Bombyx mori: one gene and its partners. The protein of the gene in region 1 interacts with the protein of each later gene in a pairwise test. Links are inferred from orthologs where the notes say so. Each region holds a gene or a part of one and is shown on either strand. Other genes may lie near its edges. The genes, in order: peroxisomal biogenesis factor 19, peroxisomal membrane protein 11B, peroxisomal membrane protein PEX16 and peroxisome assembly protein 12.

Region 1 (5,803 bases):
GCTTACCCATGGTGCAGGGTGTGGGCGCAGCGTTGTTAGGGAATGCCGGCCTCCGTACTCTCAAAGAACCCCTTAAATTCTTACCTATTCCATATTAACCGCGCGCTTGCTTGAGGGCGCTAGGGTAATTATGGCACACGAATGCTACACGGACTAGAGACACCCTTAACTTCAGCGGGTCGCGATTCCAGTAGTAGATTCTGCGAATCACTGCTCTTACTAGGGTTACTAGGTAGGTACTTACTAGGTAGTGTTAGCAACCTCTCTCAGGTTGAGCCCGTGAGCTCACCTTACCCGTCCGGGCGTAATTGGAATAGCCCGCTGGGCTACCAGCGAATAGGTAGGGTAAAATATCACCTCTTTCCTACACTAAACCAAATTCTAGGTCTTACTAAGCCGCATCGCAAAGGAAGACGACCAAACCACAGTTGAAAGCAAAATTCGGAGCAACAAAAACATTGTCTCTTTTACAGCGAGGTACTTATCATTCAGTAAAAAAAAACTCCCGCACCGCGCCTAGTTGGAATAGCCCCGCAATAATTAAGCAGAAAAAAAAAACATTGAGATATGACAATTATTATCTCCCTTCTTGACCATACGTCGATATTTAGTTGGTGATCGCTTTGTTGGTACTGTGGATGATAGATAGAGGTACTATCTTATTTAAGGGACAAGTTGAAAAAGGGTCCGCCAGTACACAGCAAATTATTGTTGGAAGACTCACCGAAATAGCGCTAGTGTACGAAGTGGAAATGATATGAATATAGCAGTTTTAAACAGAGTAAAGTTTGCTGGGTTGAAATGAAGTGTGGTAGTTTAAGGCGCTGTTTTTAAAATCCTTCCACTTGCTACTGTGGCGCACCGCAATTGGCTCCTTTTCAGCGGACACTTTTTAATACACTGAGATGGTTCTCTTTACTTCTAACCTTTTCATTTCTAAACTTTAAAAAAAAAACCTTACTCTCTATCGATTTGCGATGGTGTCTTCGGTATTTCTTCCGGCTCTGGCGGTTCTTCCTTTCCCTTTTTCTTATCGTCCTTCTTTCTGTCGACTGGTGGAGGAGCGTCTCCACCTGCTGGCGCCCTGGTGGGAGGTGAATTTAAAAATAAGAAGTTTTAAGTATCCTGTTTTCGTAGATGTTTGCCAGTATTTGAGGTTTTTTGTTGGACTAGAATGATGGAAGAGCTCACGGCCCATTGTTAAATGACCAGAGCTTATAGAACAAGATGAATGCCATCTTGGAACCTTGAAACCCAAAGTCAAAATCTGAGTTGCATTGTTTAAACAAATTTTGTAACAACAAAATGGTCGCTTCGCTTCGCTGCCGAAATACGGTGGATTTGGTACCTAACCACGTGCACATACATGGACAAGAAGCTTCTACCAGTAGTAATTGTACAAATGTGTAAATTTTGCGAGCTCTATTTTGTTTCATTTATCGGCTACATAACACTTCACCGTGTGCTATTCCGTTTTAAAAAAAACAAAATTGGAAAAAATTAACCAAGTGCCAACTACCGGTCCCTTGAGTTGACTACTTAAATATTTTGTAACTTACTGAGATTTTTTATTGGACATTTTCGTAAAAATCACGACTTTTTCAAGAGCATACGTAAATTTGTAATTATCTTGATATTCCTTGTTTTTTGTGATTAAACAACGTTTTTGCGATTTTTTTGTCACTTTTTATTTATTTTTTTATGAAACTACCACATTTCGTATACCATGGCCGATTTGAATGGCTTTGAAGTTTCAAAACATATGTCACTTTTCGAACTAAGTTTTTTTTTTATTCAAGCCAGTTTGTTAAATATTTGTCTCATTTCCATTTATTTTATTTCGAATGAGAGATCGAAATACCGAAAAGCTTAGGGTAAGTATTCCAAGACAACAAAAGCAAAAAAAAATGAAAATAGAATTATGTATTACAATCAAACAATATTTTAAATATTATAGATTTTTTAATGTAACCTAAGAAACTCATGGTTCGGGTTTTAAAATTCCCGCTTAAATTAGTTACCTTCAGTGAAGTCATATGACTTCAAGGCATAGAGTTACTGTTGTAGGTACTTATTAACTCCATGCTTCAAGGTCAACGAAATAATCTTAGAAATATTTTTTGTCTCTTTTTGTCTTATAGTCATTACGTATGATAGAAAGACAACAAACAAATGAATGAGTCAAACGTTTTGCTTTTGCAATGTCTATTGGAAATGCACCGTTTTATCGAAATTTAATCATCGATATTCATTAATTTTATTTTCATGTATAGAGTAAAATACATATTTTTTTATTAAAATTGTATTTCATTTCTACTGGTCAGCGAAGATTTTGTAGTAAATTCACTTAAAATCGATCTGTTTCTTAGTGCCGAAACCTTTTCAAAACGCCTTTATTGTCTTTTCACAGGGAAAAAACCCATTCATTAGCTATAGTTCATAAGTGTATAATCTATGAGCTAGTTCGATCACTCAAAATTCATGCTCATTTCAACCTTTGAAATTTCTATTGTCAAATTTGTCACTCAACGTGAAAATTTTTCTGAACCAATTTTCTATTGAATTTATTTTAATTATTACCGATTAAACATGTCTGACAATAAGAACGCATCCAAAAACGATCAAGATCCTGAATTAGACGATTTATTGAACAGTAAGTTGTTAAATCTTGATTACATTTCATCGTGTTGATTTTCCATTACACAATAACCTACGGTCTAAGTGCATGCTAATTTTGTTTGTTTTCTCTGTTAATGTCTTCTTTGTCAGTTATCAACATCTTTAATATTTCTTTATTCTATTTAAGTAATCGCGTATGAAAGTTTTTAATTTTAAAATGTAAAACTGACGATAAATCCTCAAACTCAAAAAAAAAGGTTCCGTATTTTTTCTTATTGCGTTTAGCAATGTTGATTAGACGTAATCAAGATAAAATAATGTTGAGCATAATTAATTAACACTATCATTAGTTTTCATTTATTCATCAAATGACAATTTTTTTGTTAAATTTTATTAATAGCTAGCTTATTGCTGTTTTGTACTGCTTAAGATGAGTACACTTGATTACTGGACCTCATGGTCATTGCACGCTGCTCTCACTTTACTATCTTCTCTTCATCCTCTAAAATTAGGAAATATCATGATTCATGATATTTCCTAATTTGATAATGATGATCATCATCCGCATGGGTAGGTATCACCACCCCGCCTATATCTGCCATGAAGGGCCAGGTGGCCAGGTGGGCTGTGAGCTTGTCCACCCGCTAAGCAATGAAAAAAAAACCTAACCTACCACTCTATCAAACTGTCTTCCGCTTGCCTTCAACCCATGTAATGGAGACTGGCACATATCCTCCTATCATGCTGCATAGGATTTTGGTGTGAGTTTTACAACACCGGCCTGTTGTCAACTCTATGGGTTATTTACTCAAGTGACATATCTATTGTGGCATGCCATAGGGAGGAGTTGTTCTTCTGTCAGTGTATCTTTTACCTGATTCATTTTTGGTTATACTCTTAACATTTAAATTTTTATTTTAAAAATTAGATTTACATATATCTAAAAGATAAAACTGCTACATATTATTAGTTTTTCGGTATTTTCATAATCTAGAAAATATAACTAACAAAATATCACTCTAACCAACCTGGCCTCAATAGATTAATAGTCACAGAAAGTCATACTAAAAAACTGTCACTCAGGGTGTAAATTTATTCCAGGTGCACTTCAGGATATGACAAAGAAGAAAGATGATAAGCCAAACGATACCACTCCTGATGGTGGCGAAGCAATGCAGAACATGTGGGGCGAGGAATTTATCAAAGAAGCAGCTGCTCAGTTTGAGAGCAACATGGCAGCTATCCTAGGCAGTTTCAGTGGAGTGCCAGGTACGTCAATTAGTGCGCCAGGTTCCATCTAGCTTCAAGTGGCTAGTGGACTTCATATCAGTGTTTCCACTTTAATGATTTTCTTTCCCCACACCTCAATTCAAATTTCCCCTTCTCAGGGCTTTTTCTCCTCAAAAATGTTTCTGCTGTAGTTTTTACTTTTGGCCCTAGTGTAGTAACTAAAAAAAGGTCTTTATCGATTTTAGATTTTACCCATGATTTCCCGCAATTTCCCCTTTTGATGTCTTCTCTTTTTCTCCTCCTATGGACCCTAATTTCCCCTCAAATGGGGAATGTCCCCTCGTTGTGGAAACACTGCTTCATATATGTAGCGTGCAACATTCGGTCGCACTCGGGCGTCATCGGACGCGATCGGAGCTCCTGAACGCGCAGGTGTCCCGTGACGTCATGCAGCAAGATTCGCGCGCGCGTCGATTTAAGTTGAATGTAAAAACGTAATTTTAATTTTAATTCGTATCTTCCAGTGCCTAGCGTTGCTTACTTTACTTTTGGTTTATGTTTTAATATTGTACACATTAAGTATAATAATATGTATTGTTGAAATGGAGTGTTTGTCTTTTGTATATTCGGAATGAAAATATCCCGTGAATACGAACAACAAATAATAAACCACATACACAATTTTTACTGGTGGTAGGACCTCTTGTGAGTCCGCGCGGGTAGGTACCACCGCCCTGCCTATTTCTGCCGTGAAGCAGTAATGCGTTTCGGTTTGAAGGGTAGGGCAGCCGTTATAACTATACTTGAGACCTTAGAACTTATATCTCAAGGTGGGTGGCGCATTTTACGTTGTAGATGTCTATGGGCTCCAGTAACCACTTAACACCAGGTGGGCTGTGAGTTCGTCCACCCATCTAAGCAATAAAAAAAAACAATAATTTCAACCACTCACATTGAGACATCTTCCAAGCCTCAGTTGTAATGGCTGATCCACCCTTGAGAGATCCCTTGCCACAGAAATTTGTCAGCAGAATGGCTTAGGTTTATGTAGGATGGATAATGCCTATCTTAAAAAAAAAGTGAATAGAATTTGGGAGGAAAAAGGTCGTTAAGTTGAGGATTTCATGAAAGGAATGTTGTAGCTGAAGCCAAACAAGGCAAACAAGTACCTAATTAATCAATCAGATTATTATCAACATTAAATCTGCGGCTTATTTTGACACACTTTAATTGGCATACCATAGTATGTATATGATATATTTTTTATGTGATATTCACCGATTTTAAAGTATCCAATTTAATTAAAACATCACACACTTATCAAGGACCAATGATAATACAATCTGTACTAATATTATCAAGCTGAAGAGTTTGTTTGTTTGAACGCGTTAATCTCAGGAACTACTGGTCTGATTTGAAAAAATCTTTCAGTGTTACATAACGCATTTATTGAGGAAGGTTATAGGCTACATAACATCACGGTAAGGCCGATACAAGTGGAGCACCAATAAAGAATGTTTCAAAATAGGGGCTTATAGCTCCTTAACATTCTATAATTCAAAAATATTTTCACTTTCTACGTAAATGAAGTGGGGGTAAAATTTAGTGATATGCCAAAGTAACTATTCCACGCGAACGGAGTCGCGTGCAAAAGCTAGTAATTTAATAAAATTGTCTTATTACAATGATTGGGATCTTCAGGGTTAAAATGCAGTAGTGTCTTGTGCCGTGTATTACTTACTATACATATATGAAGAAAAACCTTTCTTATTTAAAACTCTATAGTTTTTAAAAATGAGTTTTCTTCATTGACATCCATTGTTATGGAGTGAAGTCTGTGATTAAGTAAAAAGGGAGGACTTAAAAATTTTGTATAGCTTATTAATACTGTTTAATTTTTAATATTGATTTTAAAAGAGATCAAGACTTTTAAATGCTCTTATCTTATTATACA
Region 2 (5,891 bases), on another chromosome or scaffold:
CCGCGCGGGCTAGGGGAGCGTACTCGACGTCGTACTCGTTCCGGGCTTCCACGCTCGTCAGAGCTATCGTCATACCTACCAATACTGCTGCGTGTCCGTTTTGATCGCGGCATACTATCACGCGACGAACTTCGCTTCATATTGCGAATTTTCACCGTAATTCGATCTCTATCTCTATCGCTACGCGGTAATCCAATCATGAAAGCTCACTTCGACGAACTACTATCTGAAATACACATCACAATATTACACGTCACTGTAAATTAGTTTTGGTCGATACAATAAAGTAACCCACTGATGCACTATTCTTACCCCAAACGAATTACAAACACTAATCACTCAGCAGATCACTGAAAACCTCAATCTTGGACGAACTAATTCGTATTATTAAGTAGACAATTATTTTAAAATAATCACGTTCACTTCAACTTTATTTAATGTAAATTTGAAATTAGAAGCGCTGATAAGCATCAAGAATATCGACCATTACATGGGAATCTCACAAAATGGCAGTTTGGCTGAGGGTTGCCAAATGTGATTTCTGAATTTCTTGTACATATTTCCCCAAATTATTTTGCCGTTTCTTCTGAGTTGTATTATGTACGATAGGTACGCTGTTTCGGTTCTGTAACCAGCTTTACGGGTAGCGGATTTTGTCCGATAAGTGTTTTTTGGGTCTTCATCGAGTTGATCTTAAAACCAACTTTGGCGCTTCCAACTATATATCGTCCAGTTTGGATTGCATGCAGACAACTTCATGATTAAAAAAACATTAGTCATCAGCATGGTCTAGACCATCCAATTCTTTGGACAACCCCCACATAACAAGTCACATCCATGCTACTGTCGAAATTGCTATGATTTAATTAACTAATTGTTGTAATATGGACTGCTAAACTGAATACTTAATAGAGAAAATTACTGATCTGTATCCCAAGAGAAGTAAAGCTACCTATGATCTGGACTTTTTGGCGGGAACGCGAGAAGTGAAGTTGTGTGCTTTGTTTTATTTAATAGTGTTTCTTAGGTTTGAATGTGTAATAACGTGGTTTATTAACTATTTAGTATCTGTGAAAGTGCACAAATGGGAAAATGAAACAAAGCCACTGAACGTAACTTCTCGGGATCTTCCAAAAAGTTCACTGAAAAAGTCTCAGCAAATGACCCCTATTTTACTGAGATTATACTTCATTCCATATCATCTTATCTCATTTCATTTCATTTCGTTTTCATTTCATGCCATGTATAATAATAATCAACTTCATTTCATTTCATAATATCATTTTTCATTAAAAAAGCTGTCATTAAAATTAAAAAAAGACATGACCAAAAAGTCTTAGTTACCAGATCATAAAATCACTTTAAAAAAATGCTACCAGTGTAGTACCGTAAAATGGGGCGATTAGGGACAAATTCCAACTTTATGAGCAATTTTATGGTAGTTGTTGATGTATATAATGCTATATCAGGATCAAAATGATTGAGTCTTGGGGGCATCTTTGTTGTCTAATTTAAAATTATGCAACTAGCATTCCAGTTTAAGCAAAAAATGCAAAAATAGGTCTAATCCCTATTTACCCGAAAATTGCGGTTAATTGGGACGAAATGAGAAATTTGCTAGGGTTGGCACTACTTTTATTTTTATATATAGTTTTAATTTATTTATTTATTTAGTTGCACCAACAAAGTGATCAATAAAAAAAATTGAAAAACTGACAAAAGTACATGGCAGACATCACCTCAATTATAGGTGCAATCGACAGTGCTGATATTTCTATCTGGGTTAAGAGATTAGGTGTGTCGGTTATTCCATGGATTAATCAGATGAATACCCCCACTCTGAACAAATATTAAATATTTTATTATGTATTACTTAGACATTTTTGTCCACCTTGAGATTTCATTGATCTTGTTACATGTCTCTGCAAAATCGACTTACTTATATTAAATTGCTTATCTATTTCAACTAAAGATTTATTCCCAATTTCGCTTCGATAAACCAGATTTTTACCAACAAATTTAAAAAATATTGTTATAACTACATAGACAACCCTACAAATCTGTACCTATTTATACTTAGGTCGTTTCCATTTCACGTATTCTCATCCCAATTGACCTCTTTTTCGTTGTTATTTGTACCTAAGACGTCCCCAATATCCCCAAAAACAACAGATTTTTACATGTATTTTTATTTAATCAAATACATTAAAACCAATAACAACTGAGACTTACCTTTAATATATATGCTGGTTCAAACACTAAATAACGTTTATAAATCATAGTCGTCTTCTATTATTATCAAATAAATAAAAGAGAGCAAAGTTTCTAGCACTAAAATAATTACCACCACAGGAAGTTAATTTGAAACGCGATTTTTTATAAGTTAGCAGCTATTATCATGCATATTCAGAGTTGTTTTGTGAACTTTCAACATTCTACTATTAAACTACAAAAAAATGGAAGATTTTGCAACGAATATAAAACTTATATTGAGCGTCGAAAGATTTTCCCGGTTTTTTCCCGATTCGCCTTTCAATCCCTAATCGCCCCATTTTACCGGTACTTTTTGGCGGGAACGCGAGGAGTGAAGTTGTGTGAATAGTTTTATTTTGTCTATTTAGTGTTTCTGCAGGTTTAAATGTGTAATAACGGTGGTTTATTAACTGTTTAATATCTGTGAAAGTGCACAAATGTGGGAAAGTGGAACAAAGCCGCTGGACGTAACTTGTCGGGATCCTCCAAAAAGTCCTCTGAAAAAATCTCACTAAATGACCATCATTTTACTGAGATTGTAATTCATCTCTTATCATCTCATCTCATTTCATTTAATTTCATCCCAGTTGATTAATGTCTCAAATTAATCCTCTTCGTTTCATTTCATTTCACTCCATTTTATCATTTTTCATAAAAATAAGAATTTATTAAATTAAAATAAGAAACGACCTAAAAGTCTTAGTTACCGGGTCATAAAATCCCTTAAAAAAGCTACCAGTGTATGTAGATAAACATTCTATTTTTTTGCTAAGTAAGTAAGACTGTAAGTAAGTTGTAAGACTTAAGTAATCTTAAAGGCATATGCCATTTATATTAAGTAATGAAAACGCAACTCTATGTTACAGTTTCCAAAAAACGATCCACATTAACATACGAGCAAGTTACTACAAGTATGTACTAAGAACGCTCTTGGCGTAGCGTTTACATTTTATTTGCGTTTCACTTGATTTGACCCTACTCCACAAAGTCCATGACGAAATCGCAATGGATATAATTATAAAAGTAAATAATCAATCCATTGGAAGAGACAAATTGGCAAGGTAAACTTCATAGACAGAAGAGGTTTATTTATACAAACTGGCTTTTATTAATCTCTACTCTACTAATAATAGATTTATTTGTCTTGTCTAGATTTATTCAATATATTAGCAAGCTTGTATGGCATCAATTGGAGACCAGGAATGCTAATAAATACTCCATAGATAGAATAAAAAATTTGGAAAATGCATTTAGTTCATTTAGAAAGAGTAAGTAAATACTATTTGTACCATTCGTAAGACTTACAATCCAACTACAAACGAACACTGGGATGTTATTATTTTATTTATTAGAGCATAATACAAAATACTATTGACCGGTAAACAATATTACACAATTCTTGGAACCTTAAAGAACAATTTGGGTACTTTAAATTTGAGAAATTGTTTTGAGTTGATCCGGTGATCTCCATGATACCATCATACCCCTACCAAACTCATTTCTACTTCTCGGAACAACTGTGTGCCCGCTTTCTAGAAAAATATATTTTATTAGGTCAAATCGATCTGGAATAAACTTTCCTATATGATGTTTAAGGACATGCTCTTCTTCAAATTTAGTTTGAAAAACATCACTGTAGGCATCCACTTGGCTGTGACCCTGGCATTGCTGATGTTCATGAGTGATGGTGTCTAATCACCATCAGTTCACCCTTGTGTCACTTACCTTAAAGTTATTAAAAAAAAATATGAAAATTTATTAAACCAAAGGGAAATGGGGTGACTGAAATCAGCACTGTTTGATGCATTCATTTTGAACAGCATTAGCTGAACCACCTCCTTTTGTCTTTTTCTTTTCTTTTATTTATCTACTTTTATTAGTCTTAAATCTGTGTGAAAGGCAATAAATGCTTTTATTATTATTATTAAATGTTAAAATGTGGATATAATAACTTTTCAGTTCTGAGGTTGGGCAGATGCATAGACGTTTGCTACATTGCTTTAGACAGCATGAGCATAGAAGATCCATTTTTAAGATTAACAATAACAGTTAGCAAGTTATCACATAGTTTATTTTTGTATGCAGACCACATAGTATGGTTGGCCAAAAGTGGATTTCTAAAAACAGACTCAGACACTTGGAATCAAACTGCAAATAAATTCTGGTTACTGTCTATTATTGCAAATTTAGCACGAGACTTTTATGAAATACTCCATTTGTTACAACTACACAATTCAAAATTTCTAAGGCCTTCTGATTTATTAAATCTATCAGTACATAAATTTGATCTAATGTCTACTTTGAAACACATTCATGTGTTATTACTTTGTCATAGAGATATATTTGTTGATACATTGAAGAATGCATGTGACTTGTTCATACCCTTAACAGCTCTTGGGTTTATAAAATTGAGTCCAAGTGCGATTGGCACTTTAGGTGCTATCTCTTCCATTGCTGCTTTGATAACTCTAGTTCAACCTATATCTAAATTGGTACCATCATAATGGCATAAAATAAGTGACAAATTACAGATTTAACTGTATTGTTTGTTAAATTTTTGAATGAACAAAATCAAGTCTTGTCACGATGTTTCAGTGAACATGAGAAATGCTATAAAATACAATATCATATATATGATTCATCATCATTCACGAATAAATTAGTTACATAATAATAATAATTTTAATGCACTGAGTGTTTACCATGAGTAGATACTCTGACATCCATTTGGCGAATTCTTTGATCAGTGATACACAACTTTTTTATTGCAGTACACTTAACTATTTCCAAATTTGCCATAATTCAAATATAATAAAGGTTTAAAAGTTGTATTCTGACTACTTTCTCAAATAGTGATAATAATTTTGAATGAAAAATAAAAAGTACAAAATAATATATGTATGGGGATTTATTCAAAGTTATTAATAGAAATTATTTTTGTTGAGGAATACATGATGCATACAGTGGATGAGAATCAGTTTTTAATTGTTGAAGTATATAAAGTTTTTTCATTCTCAATTTTGCAAGCAAAATTAAATGTGTAAAAAATATTTTTGCTGTCTTACAGTATACATATTTCCATGTAATAATTTTAATCATATATAAGGCTGTAGTGAGTGACTTTGTGAATACTGGTATTGGTGTAGGAAAATTATATTTTATTTTGTACATAAGGTACTAAAGGGATTTAAAAAATATATAAATTATTTACATTAAAGTTTTTGATTTTGTAATTTTCATTAATGTTGTATTCTACCTGAACGAGTACTGTTGAGTTAGGTAATGACTTCACTAGATTGATTTTGGTTCTGCAGCATACTTGATGCTAAGTTGTGGCTAGAGCCTGTATACCTACACTACAAGATCAAAAGCGCAAACCACCTGGAGATATGAATTTGGAGGCTCAATTGTATTCTATAGTAGCATACTTCACGCTCATGCATAACGGGTTCACGGCAAAAGCATGCAGAATGGTTGTACCTATCAGTGCCAGCTTACAATACGCTCCACCACTTGCAAATAATACAATAGAATCGTTGATTATCAATGAATAGCGTGTTTGTCCAAATTTTACTTGAAAGCTTATTCATAAGTTAAGTACTGAAAGTGCTGAAACCTGCTCGAGTGGGCTTACTATA
Region 3 (6,034 bases), on another chromosome or scaffold:
AAAACCTGTCGGTAAATAGTCAGGGTTTACTGAATATTAAATGTATTTTATAAAAACCGTAAAATGTCCAAATGGATAACTTCGGTAGATTCAATCGCCTTACCTCAAGATGGGTTTTGCTCGAGTTGTATTTTCCCTCACTCTTGTTTGGGCAGATTATGCATGAATAAATTAAGAGAGAAAGCAAAAAACGAGGTGTTTTAGAGGTGGAGCATCATTCCCGCATAAGATTTTTATTTATTGCTTAGATGGGTAGACGAGCTCACAGCCCATCTGGCGTTAAGTGGTAACTGAAGCCCATAGACATCTACAACGTAAATGCGCCACCCACCTTGAAATATAAGTTCTAAGGTGTCAGTATAGTTGCAACGGCTGTCCCACCCTTCAAATCGAAACGCATTACTGCTCCACGGTAGAAGTAGGTAGGGTGGTGGTATCTACTCGTGCGGACTCACAAGAGGTCCTACCACCAGTAAGAGATTAATTAAAGAGAGAGATAAATAAGAAGAAGAGATAAATAAGATTTTAAAGCCAATTCCTCAATTCGAAGAATAACTCGTTATTCGAATTTAAGGAAATTTGTTTTTCTTACTTTTATTTCTTGTTTCTAATGGTGCTATTAGTTGTTCCATTTTTGTAAATACATAATCGCCATAGCTTATATCATCCACATTGTCATGAATTTTATTACCAATACATTTCCATCTCTGATAACAGTTACAGTTTGAAGGGTGCTGCAGTTGACATGCCAACAATTGGGATTCGAAATTGTAGTATTCGTTGGCTTTGGCAGTGCTCAACAAGAGCTATTTCCAACGACCCCACTTCATTTAATATAGTAAGCGAAAACGAAGTTTTTTTGAAGTTTTGAACTGATAATGCTTCCCTTTTTTTTATTGCTTAGATGGGTAGACGAGCTCACAGCCCATCTGGCGTTAAGTGGTAACTGAAGCCCATAGACATCTACAACGTAAATGCGCCACCCACCTTGAAATATAAGTTCTAAGGTGTCAGTATAGTTGCAACGGCTGTCCCACCCTTCAAATCGAAACGCATTACTGCTCCACGGTAGAAGTAGGTAGGGTGGTGGTATCTACTCGTGCGGACTCACAAGAGGTCCTACCACCAGTAAGAGATTAATTAAAGAGAGAGATAAATAAGAAGAAGAGATAAATAAGATTTTAAAGCCAATTCCTCAATTCGAAGAATAACTCGTTATTCGAATTTAAGGAAATTTGTTTTTCTTACTTTTATTTCTTGTTTCTAATGGTGCTATTAGTTGTTCCATTTTTGTAAATACAGAATCGCCATAGCTTATATCATCCACATTGTCATGAATTTTATTACCAATACATTTCCATCTCTGATAACAGTTGAGCAAAATTTGGTAAAAATATACTGTAAATTATTGCATCATTTGCATACTTTTACTTTTGTCCAAATATCTCCTAATTATACTTTCAACGTTTCTTTGATATAGTAGACTTCTACAAAACTATGATAAATTCGCCATAATCCAACAAGCAATCTTGGTTCTAGCAAAAAAAATGTACTTTATCTACAAATTTCTTATTTTTCTTTTCAGTCAGACTTTCTAGATTTTTCGTGTTCTTTGAAATATCAAAAACCTTTAACTTATGTCTGTAGGTTCGAAAAATTAATTTAGGACTTATTTTATATTATTATTATTATTTTATATTAGTTTATAAATTTACCGTTTATTGATGAAAATTAACTTCAAGACGCAAGATGCACGAGAGATGTATCGTTTCATTAGGTAAATATACCATGTAAATGTACAAGAAATTCTGATAGATAGTATTCAACATTTGAGAATCAAAGGTTTCTTGCATTGTACGTTTGCCAATATCGTAAACATTCACACAGCCTAAATAAATGTATTTAATTATTTTCTAAATTATGATTTAAGATTATTTCATTACGATTTGGCCGTACGAATTATCTTTAGCTTAACTTATCCATTTGAACAAAACAGTAAGTAAATTCCATTTGGTATTGCAAGTACCAAAAAGTATTATAGGTTTGATTTCTTTTGCCTGTTTATTAAAGAAAACCATTGAAATCAAATGTGTCATTTTTGTCAACAAAGTAAACTGATAGGAGACTGGTTCTAAAGTTCAGTGTTTTATATTTATGGTTAATTTACACAGATGACTTGTTATAATTACTAAACCTTAGTGGTAAATCAATTTAACAGCTAAAGTATTCTGACCAATTCATAAATAATTTTTGTTAAAAAATGAGTAGCAAATTGTCGTTGCAAGAAGTGTACACTGCGTACAAGCGATGGGTGATCAGCAATCCGAGCGTGGTGACAGACGTCGAGACCGTTGCTACATGGACGTCGTATTTCGTGGCCGGTAAAATAAACAAATCCCCAATTATATCTGAAATGATATACTGCATGTCAAAGCTGTTATCATTGTATAATGATAGACTTATTCGAGACGCTTACGGTGCCGAAACTTCATCTTATGGACTTCGTGAACAGATTAAAATATGGCTCACTATCATTCACTATAGTGAAGTGTTTGTAGAACTCATTGCCAAAGACAGATGGGGACAACGAGGCAAGTGGACCGTTGCAACTTTATTGCAGCTCTTCAAAGCATCGTCCGGATTAATTCTTCTGTATCGATTCAAAGAACTTCCCATATCACACCCCCCTGTTGCTTTCTTACAAAGAAAGAAGTATACTGAAGGCCGAGATGTTGAAGAGCATGAGAATTCATTTTTTAAGCTTCGCAGGTCTGGCCGTGTTATGAGACGTGTTGATGGAGCACCTCCAATTGCTTTTCGAGATTGGACGCCAGTGAAAATAAAAGATGATAGACCTGTGCCTGGCATTGAGGTTAAGGACTTATTGTATGCTGAGTCATTACATGTTTTGAAGCCATTACTTCATCTTGCTGCAATGAGGTTCTTTGGAAATAAAGCCTGGAAGCAGTGGTTTGTGGCTCTCAGTATTGATATTGCCAGTCTCAAAGTATACAATAGGTATATGAAAGAGTTATCATATGAACAAAGGCTGGAAATAAGTCGAAGAAAATTAGGCTTAGTCCTATATTTATTACGCAGTCCTATGTACAATAAATATTCTAACACTGTAATAGAAAATGTTCTTAATTCTGCTTCAAAGAAAATACCTATGATGTCATTGATCTGTGGCCCAATAATCCAATACTTAAATCACTGGCAAGACATTTACTTCTATATGTGGGCATCATAAGTAAATAATTAATTAATTAATACAAATCAGTATGTTTCATCAATAAGATTTCAAACTAAAAGTCTACTATAGATTTGAAAATTATAATTTAATGGAAAAATTATGATTAATATTAAATCATTACAGAATGTTACTGTTATCTTTAAGGTATAAATCTAATCCAAATGGTCTGTAAAACTCAAACACAACAGTTTGTAATAATTATATACTACCTAATGTTTAATTTCACATGCAAATGGGAGTAAATATTCAAATGTTTGCTCTTCGCTGGGACAATTTTGTGTTATATATACATATATGCTTCATAAACTGTAAATAATACAGCTTATGTACATTTTTTCTTATTGTTCTTTAAAAAAGAATTTGGACAGAAAGTATTTATGATCAATAGTGGTTCTTGTAATTTTGCTGGCAATCTGATCCACAAAGAGACAAAAAAAAATTGGTAATACATTATCAGAAAACTTAAATGTGATATTTTGCAAATATCTTTATTGTCAAACGAGCATCTCTAGAACAGTTTTGTTTTTTATTAAGAGATATCAAGGTGGAAGATTAAAATCATTCCTTAGTATTTTGTAGACTGTATGTGTAACTGACATTAACTATTAATATTACCTTCAAAATGATTTCAATATTTGAGACAATGGTAGTGTGTTTCATATAGGTGTTGGATACTGTATTATTTTTATCTACTTTTTATATCTATGAATAGATTTAATTATTCATTGACCGGAACATTTGAGTTTGTGAATGGATAAATATAATGATGGCAAAAACCAATCTAACTGATGTGGTCTAGAAAGAAAAAAACAATAATATTTTTTCAATATAAGTGAATCCATAATGTCGAATTCTTTACAGAAACTGAAATAATAAAACAATCTTGTAGTAGTAGTAAATTTAATTAAACAGATATGAAGAGAATACAAGCACATTGTAATATGTCAAGACATAAGAATGATTCAGATTTTAATCTAAATATGTGGGTAATAAGAAACTTTATCTGTTTGTAAAATCTGTGTCTATTAATGGAACATTTTGCATTATGAATTGATATGTCAATAATCGAGTAAGAGAACAAGGCTATGATGTCCCAAGCAATGAATTGAGATATGAACTAAAATATCGCAGCACAGATCTCTGTCTAATAAATGACATTGCAGGACAAAGACAGTCAACGAGCTGCATCTAAAGAATCGTGATTCTTAGGTACTTATGAAGCTATGAAGGAATGATCGAGGCAGAGTGTCAACCATAAACAAAGTAGATTTCAGTTGTACAGTTCGTTTATTGATTTACTTTTTGTCAAGCCGACACGTTGTCACCTCTCGCACTACATACCTCTGGAAACGTCTGATAAGTGGCCCACACACTAGTCTGGTTACTGTAGTCTGTAGACCCGGAAATGTGTATACCGCTACTCCCTTCGAGACATTTGGATGCGCAGGCGCAGAAATAAGTAGGACGGCGAAATCAACCCGGGCGAGCTCGCAAGACGCCTTACCATCAGTGTGCTTAGTGTGAGTTTTTTAACGTCCTCGATAGCGTAAAAGTTACCTGAAATTTGTATGCAGCCGGAACAGTGCCCCCTAGCGGCAAACATAGGCAAACGTTCCAACTCCCTACAAATTTGACTTTTACGCTATCGTGAACGTTAAAAAAACTCGCACTAAGCACATAGTAAAACTGAACTATATCGTATATTGCAATGTGCGTATTCGTAATAAGGCACAATTTGGCCATACCTACTGTCGTAGACTAAAGATGTGTTGCTTTTAATGACCCTCATGGTATACATATAGGTGGTCTTGTTGAATAACTTATTTGTTGCGTATGCTGGTACTTGGGTTTGCGTATTTGTATATTTGCTTTGATGCCTAAAACAGAGATGAGCTGAGAAGCAGTAGTTAATGTTTAATGGTAAATAATGCAAATAACAGTCCTTTTTGGTTAACTGTAGATAATAATTGCAACTGCAAGAGCTTTGGAAGGCCTTTTGCCTTTTAAATTTGTGTGGACGAAGCGTTTGTGAATACAACAAATATCTGACCTTGTACCTACTGGCAGATGCTACGCCAAGTGAAGTGCCACCATTGTACATTTATTTCCATGAATCTTATATATTTTTTACTGTATTGCAAAACAATGACTCAATAAATGGAATTATGTGTAATATAAAGTGGTCTTTATTAATTTATATGTCTTCTTATATATAAGACGTCCTATCACCAGTAATTACGCTATTAAAATGTTCGCGTGTTTAATTTTAATATTTTTTATTCCTTCACCGTGTACTTAAGTCATTCGTGAAAATTTGTTACGTACGTATTTTATTTCTTTAGAAAAATTACTAACTGCCTGCGGGATTCGAACACCGACATAGTCGCATGGCTTGATACGAATGTACCGAGCGTCTTATCTTATAGGTCACGATGACATTAAAAACTAAACGAGCTTGCGTTGCCCGTTGCTAAATGCCGTCACGCACGCTGCCTTCGAAATCTGTCTTTTTTTTTATTGCTTAGATGGGTGGACGAGCTCACAGCCCACCTGGTGTGAAGTGGTTACTGGAGCCCATAGACATCTACGACGTATTGCGCCACCCACCTTGAGATATAAGTTCTAAGGTCTCAGGTACAGTACAACGGCTGCCCCACCCTTCAAACCGAAACGCATTACTGTTTCACGGCAGAAACAGGCGGGGTGGTGGTGCCTACCCGCTCGGACTGACAAAAGGTTCTACCACCAGTAACTGTGGTTGTCCTATAGTTCAAACCGCAA
Region 4 (5,868 bases), on another chromosome or scaffold:
TGTATGGTTTTTTTCTATTTTAAGTGTCTTAATCTCAAAATTATAATCTCCTAAACTGGCATTTTATTTTTTTTTAAACCATGGCAATACCCTTCTTAGATATTTTAAAACGCCTACAAAAATCTAAAAGGTACACATAGTACACAACCGGTGACGCTAAGTGCTCCCCGAAATAGGGGCCAAGTTGCGAGTTATTTATAATATTAAAGCAGTAAACATATTGTTGTGTCACTTTTAGAACAAGTAAAGTGCCAAAGTTAACAGAAAATAGTTTTAAACGGAAGTATTACAAAAAATTCAATAGATCAAAAAATAATAAGAATACAATGAATTGCAAGGTAACGACATTTCGGTGGCTTTGGCCGGATTATTGGCCGACTGTTTGTTTAGTTGTTACGCGCAGTAGGTAACTAACTATCAAGTAACTATTCATTTTGAAACTGCTATTATTAATAATTTATCTTTTCGTGTTAATTTTTTTTTGTGAACGAGAAATGTAGTTTATTTAATATTGTGTAGATGTTCCTTGTGATGCATAACTGATTGTGAATGGCCTTGACTTAATAGGTGCTACTGTTTGCTTTACAAAAATATTATATTTTGTGAAAATAAAGAAATAAATTTGAGGAAACCGAGTCTTGTTTTTTTCCGAATTTTGGTGAGACTGATTTGAAACAGCACTATTCAATTTACGATAGTGTCATCGTTTGATGCGGCCCCCGGGCGACGCTCGTGCTGCACCATGTTGCTGGACATTTCACTACCACCACAAACTCATAATAAAACTTTAATACGTACAGACATACAAAGCTTCTAAAGTAATATTATAAAGAAGAATACGTGCTACCTACCTATTTGTAAATGAGTTGAAAACTTTTTCTAATTCCAAACAGGAAAATAATCGTTTTATTTTGGCTTCTAAGAATGGATTTTGTTCGTTAGAAGTTACTCAATGGCATTACAAAAAATAGCATTTTTTTTAAATAATCCTTGTCTATATGGTCAATGAGGTCTTTTGCCTGCGCAAGTACCCAAAGTCCAATACAGGTAAAGATACAAGCTATCTATAATTAATTACTGGTAGGGTATAAGACATGACTTTAACGTTTTTTGGCTTTTGCCGAAAAATTCAAACACTCATTGGCTGCTTCCTTTTATTACTACAATTTCACATATTTGCTTTACATAAAATTCATAAATTGTCTTAACCGGTAACCATTTTCGTAGATCGTCCTGGTCCTGACTTCAAATTGCAATTGTTTGTATATAACTTCGCTCAATTCGTGACAAAATACGCCATCATTTTGTGTGCCCGCCCCCGTGTTTTTTGGAGACCGGAAGTCAACAGAAGTTTTATTATAGTCGTGAAACTATTATTAAAGGCATGAATAAAATTATTCTACAGGTCAATAGTTTGACTGAATATTTACAAAAATGATGGGGATAAGGTTTGGCCCTAAATAAATATATTTTAATCATACTTCGATAGAGGTTGTTACTAATTTTGGGTCTGTTTATAATACTGCAAATTAAAATGATCCTAACAGTTTCATGACTATAGTGTAGAAATGGAATCAGTAACTTATTTACAATAATGTTTCAGCTCTTATAATTTAATTACGTGAATAAATATAATGTTCCTAACACTTGAGACATTAAGCTAAACGAATTGTTTCATTTTATTAATTTAACATTTCTCCAGATTTCATTGAGTAAATCTAAAATGGTAAGTTAGTAAAAAGTACTTTCTTAGGCAGTCCATATACAGTAAAAGCTCTTTATCCGCAGGGAATGTATTCCGTAAAATATGCTGCGAATACAAGAATTGAATATGAAATTGTAATTTACCTACATATGTATACGGCAATAGAGGGGATACGTTCCTAGGGGAAAGATAAAAAACATTTAATAACATACCTTAAGCATAGTTGTAATATGGTCTATTTTACCTTTTTATTAGTCAATTTGACGACGCGTTTACTAAGAATATTTGGTTGGATTCCTTTATATTGGAATCCTTTTTATCAATGTGTCCCACAATGTACCAATTAGATCCTCAAATAAAGAAATCTTTAGCCTCGAATAAAGGAACTGGGTCGGATTTTTTTAATCCGCGATTGAAGTAGACCTGAGGAGCTCTTGTACCAAAATTGTAATGATTTTAAGAAGATTAGCAAGACCCTAGCACATCTGAATCAATAGTTTGTGAAATTGAAGTCTATGATCGAGATTTTCCCCACAAAAAGTCAATTTATGTGTCAAACCGACTGACCAACATTTTACTACAGATTCATTTTATTGTGAGATAATTTCATTTCATTTTATCCAGCACCTACTGAGTTTTGTCTCATCTCTAATCATTTAACTACATTTTCTTCGTTCCATAGCAAATCTTCAGGGAATATAATTTTATTTCGTTAACATTATTTTTTCACACAACCAACATGTCTTCGACTTTTCTTGTAAGAGATTTTTGGCTTATCAGCCATGGCTCCCTTTGCGTACATGATGGATGATTTAACAAAAAAAAAAGAACAGCTGAGAAAATAAACAGAAATTAAAAATTTAAATAACCAAAACATTATACTATTATGTTCAATTTTGTTAATCGGTTGATATTGTAATATTTAATGTAATGGCGGTATACGCGGCTCATTTAACACGCAGCTTCCAAGGGACTCCATCGGTTTTTCAAGTGACAGCACAGGAGGCCCTTGGAACTACTTTAAAACCTGCTCTCAGGAAGGTTATTGAAGTAAGTATATCACTATATTATAATTTGTCCATATTCAAGACTATTCCCGTTAATTTCTTAACTAAAATAATTGTTGTGGTCAATTTAATTTAATAGTTAAATAAACTTCAAATTTAAGTTAGGAAAGTATTGAGTGTTAGTGACATGAACAACTTGCTTAATGGCCAGGATAGTATGAAACTTAATAAAGTTATACCTCCAGAGGAACAACTATGGTACTTGGTGGATTCTTCGCATCATAATTGTCAAATTCAAACAACATTATACTTAATTTGTTATACTACATTATACAACGGTTACTTACACACAGTCCTAAGACACAATGTAGAATATAACTTAATTTTTTTAATTTGTTTTAAATGAGGATGTAAAATTTGAAATGATTTCAGTATTTATCAGTGCTGTACCCTAACAAATGCAGCTGGTGCACTCATTGGTACGATGAACTGTATTTGCTGTTTGATTGTATAGTGCAGTACAATTACCTTAAATATTATGGTAATTCTGATTTAATTTATTATATTTTAGTCTTATCCTTTAAAATAATAATAATCTTTTAAAATTCTTTTTATTTTTGTATTTTTTAAGCTACTTTTCATAAGGTACTTTTTTTTAAAAACACTAGCAATTTCTGTAAAATATGTGAAAATAAGCTCATTACTAAAAAAGTTAAGTATGTATTTCATAGAATAATTGGTCCTGCCACTGAGATTAGAACAACAGTGGTATCGTTTGACATGAATGTACCAAGCATCTTAACTTTTAGGCCACAATGACTTACAAAAGTATTTACTGTAGTCCATAGACAACAATGTGAATGTCATCATCTTGAGATATGAGTTCGTAATAAAACCAGACTGCATAATTGTTATCATAAAGAGGCAAGATGGAGCCTCTCATACACACAGGTTTTTCACTGGTGGTAGGACCTCTTGGGAGTCCGCACGGGTAGGTACCACCACCCCGCCTATTTCCGCCGTGAAGCAGTAATGCGTTTCGGTTCGAAGGGTGGGACTTAGCAAGAAAGAAAAAAACAGATTAACGGATTGCTAATGATTTTAAAACCTCATTTATGGTTACAGCTGCATCTTTTTCTGAAAGTTTCTATGGTCTACTCCGGGTGCCCATATCGTACAGTAGTGAGTTCAGCATTGGACAACGTCTCCCAATAGACTTAGAGCGAGGATCTCTTGCACTTCTAGTATTGTTGCCATACGTTAAGGACAAAGTCGGTGCTATTATTGATAAATGGAGGGAAGACAATGAAGATGGGAAACTTGGTAAGGTATGCAATTAAAATTTGAAAATGTGACGATTAGAAATAGGTAGCTGACTACAACCTTTATTGTATTATTAATTATTAATATGGGAATATATAATTGCTGATTATGAGTAACTAAGTCTTTATAAACTAGAATATAATATGCGTGTCTGATTTGCACTATGTCAAATAGGCAACTTAATTAGTTAGGTTAAATACGTAGATTACTTAACTCTTCTGGAGATTGTACTATCTCAATAACATCCCACAACCAGTACTCGTTCCAATTGATCCCGTTGTTGTATCAGCTGTAGAGTTAGCTGGGCAGCGGAAGCTGTACCTCCTCAGTAGTTTCTTAGTCAGGTTAATGAATTAAACGTTCGGATACTGTTTGTGCATTTATGTATGTATTTTGTATTCGTACATGTATTTTAAGAGAACTATCAAGTAATGTTTGTTTGTAAGTAAGAAAAGGGAATCTTATAAAGACAATGATTGTCTGACAGGCAGGATGAGGGAAATTGACTCTGTTTAACTTTACTTTTAATTTTTACAATAGAAATGCCCTTTAAAAAACTTTTTTTTTATAATTTCCCACTGAGTTTTTGTTACTGGATCTTCTCAGATTAACGGGTTTTTTTTTACTGCTAGGAGAAATGCTGCTGTTTTGAAATTCAATAAGTATATAGAAATCAGCTTAAATGATTTCATATACATTATTAATGTGTGTTTTCATGAAACATAACAAATTGTATATTTAGTGTTCACAAAAAAATGTTAAATAAGGTAAAATTGGCTATCATCTCTATGACGTGTCATGTTCTTCAATCCCTTGAAATAACAGATATTAGTAATAATTAGACACAATACTAATAACATTAAAGACACGAATTCGCTTACATAACGAAGTCGTCATAAAGTTTACGACACCAGTACATGTTGTTGGTAAATTTTACAGTTATCAGCTAATGTAAATTATTTTGATAAAACTATCATTTCTGTTATATGATACAATACGCGTTTATCTAGGTTTTACAGCACATTGTAATTTTATATCAGAATCTGTCTTACTGAAGAGAAAGAGCTCCAATAGTTATACTCAATTATTGATGGGGCATGATATGACACAGGACAGGATCCGCTGGAGCCCGCCACAACATGAATACCTTAACACATTCACTGCCATGTGGGTCACCGGTTTATTTATTGCTTAGCTGGTTGGACGAGGTCACAGCCCACTTGCTGTTAAGTGGTTACTGGAACCCATAGACATCTACAACGTAAATGCGCCACACACCTTGAGATATAAGTTCTAAGGTCTCAGTATAGTTACAACGGCTGCCCCGCCCTTCAAACCGAAACGCATTACTGCTTCACGGCAGAAATAGGCAGGGTGGTGGTACCTACCCGTGCGGACTCACAAGATGTCCTACCACCAGTAAATCGACGTAGTTACTTCAGTGCGCCGCGTAGGGCACTGGTGACCTACATGGCAGTCGACGTGTTAAGAGATGAGGTCGTAGTCTCGATTACTTTGAATTACGGCTTCTTCCTTCACCGGACCGGAACACTGGATTATTCCGCGGCAGAAAAGGCACTTGTCTTGCACGGTGGTACCGACCATCACAGGTGCACAAAATGAGCACAAGTAAAACTATGTGCATTGATACAAGACCAGCGCTTGGGTGTATTATGGACACTGGTCATTCAGGACACGCGGGGCCGGCTTCGTTCGGCAGCGATAAAAGTGTACGCGATCCTCCACCTCGTGTACGAGGGTCTACAGCTGGTGCAGCTGGCGCGCTACCTGAGGGGCGGCTCCCCGTCGCACTCGCTGCCCATGGCGGCGCTG

The links.
Region 2: the proteins of peroxisomal biogenesis factor 19 (region 1) and peroxisomal membrane protein 11B interact in binary tests that used the Homo sapiens proteins (3 or more experiments, as listed by UniProt). The link is inferred for Bombyx mori from reciprocal best matches to the Homo sapiens genes PEX19 and PEX11B.
Region 3: the proteins of peroxisomal biogenesis factor 19 (region 1) and peroxisomal membrane protein PEX16 interact in binary tests that used the Homo sapiens proteins (3 or more experiments, as listed by UniProt). The link is inferred for Bombyx mori from reciprocal best matches to the Homo sapiens genes PEX19 and PEX16.
Region 4: the proteins of peroxisomal biogenesis factor 19 (region 1) and peroxisome assembly protein 12 interact in a two-hybrid assay, tested with the Homo sapiens proteins (4 studies listed by BioGRID and IntAct, with this or other methods). The link is inferred for Bombyx mori from reciprocal best matches to the Homo sapiens genes PEX19 and PEX12.

Annotation. Positions count from the first base shown.
Region 1 is NC_085129.1:20,648,303-20,654,105, forward strand, and holds the start of peroxisomal biogenesis factor 19, read left to right. Parts: upstream 1-2,415; 5' UTR 2,416-2,589; coding exon 2,590-2,653; intron 2,654-3,720; coding exon 3,721-3,888; intron 3,889-5,803. Other genes in the region: uncharacterized protein LOC101735788, read right to left, coding at 962-1,084, 1,560-1,579. UniProt on the Homo sapiens protein: Necessary for early peroxisomal biogenesis. Acts both as a cytosolic chaperone and as an import receptor for peroxisomal membrane proteins (PMPs).
Region 2 is NC_085125.1:10,170,080-10,175,970, reverse strand, and holds peroxisomal membrane protein 11B, read left to right. Parts: upstream 1-2,562; 5' UTR 2,563-3,037; exon of another isoform or gene 3,038-3,041; intron 3,042-3,119; 5' UTR 3,120-3,258; coding exon 3,259-3,314; intron 3,315-3,405; coding exon 3,406-3,521; intron 3,522-4,212; coding exon 4,213-4,757; 3' UTR 4,758-5,470; downstream 5,471-5,891. Other genes in the region: RNA-binding protein spenito, read right to left, coding at 1-200. UniProt on the Homo sapiens protein: Involved in peroxisomal proliferation. May regulate peroxisome division by recruiting the dynamin-related GTPase DNM1L to the peroxisomal membrane. Promotes membrane protrusion and elongation on the peroxisomal surface.
Region 3 is NC_085107.1:1,911,796-1,917,829, reverse strand, and holds peroxisomal membrane protein PEX16, read left to right. Parts: upstream 1-2,065; 5' UTR 2,066-2,260; coding exon 2,261-3,250; 3' UTR 3,251-5,432; downstream 5,433-6,034. UniProt on the Homo sapiens protein: Required for peroxisome membrane biogenesis. May play a role in early stages of peroxisome assembly. Can recruit other peroxisomal proteins, such as PEX3 and PMP34, to de novo peroxisomes derived from the endoplasmic reticulum (ER).
Region 4 is NC_085122.1:395,490-401,357, forward strand, and holds the start of peroxisome assembly protein 12, read left to right. Parts: upstream 1-2,480; 5' UTR 2,481-2,635; coding exon 2,636-2,755; intron 2,756-3,144; coding exon 3,145-3,253; intron 3,254-3,837; coding exon 3,838-4,040; intron 4,041-5,727; coding exon 5,728-5,868. UniProt on the Homo sapiens protein: Component of a retrotranslocation channel required for peroxisome organization by mediating export of the PEX5 receptor from peroxisomes to the cytosol, thereby promoting PEX5 recycling.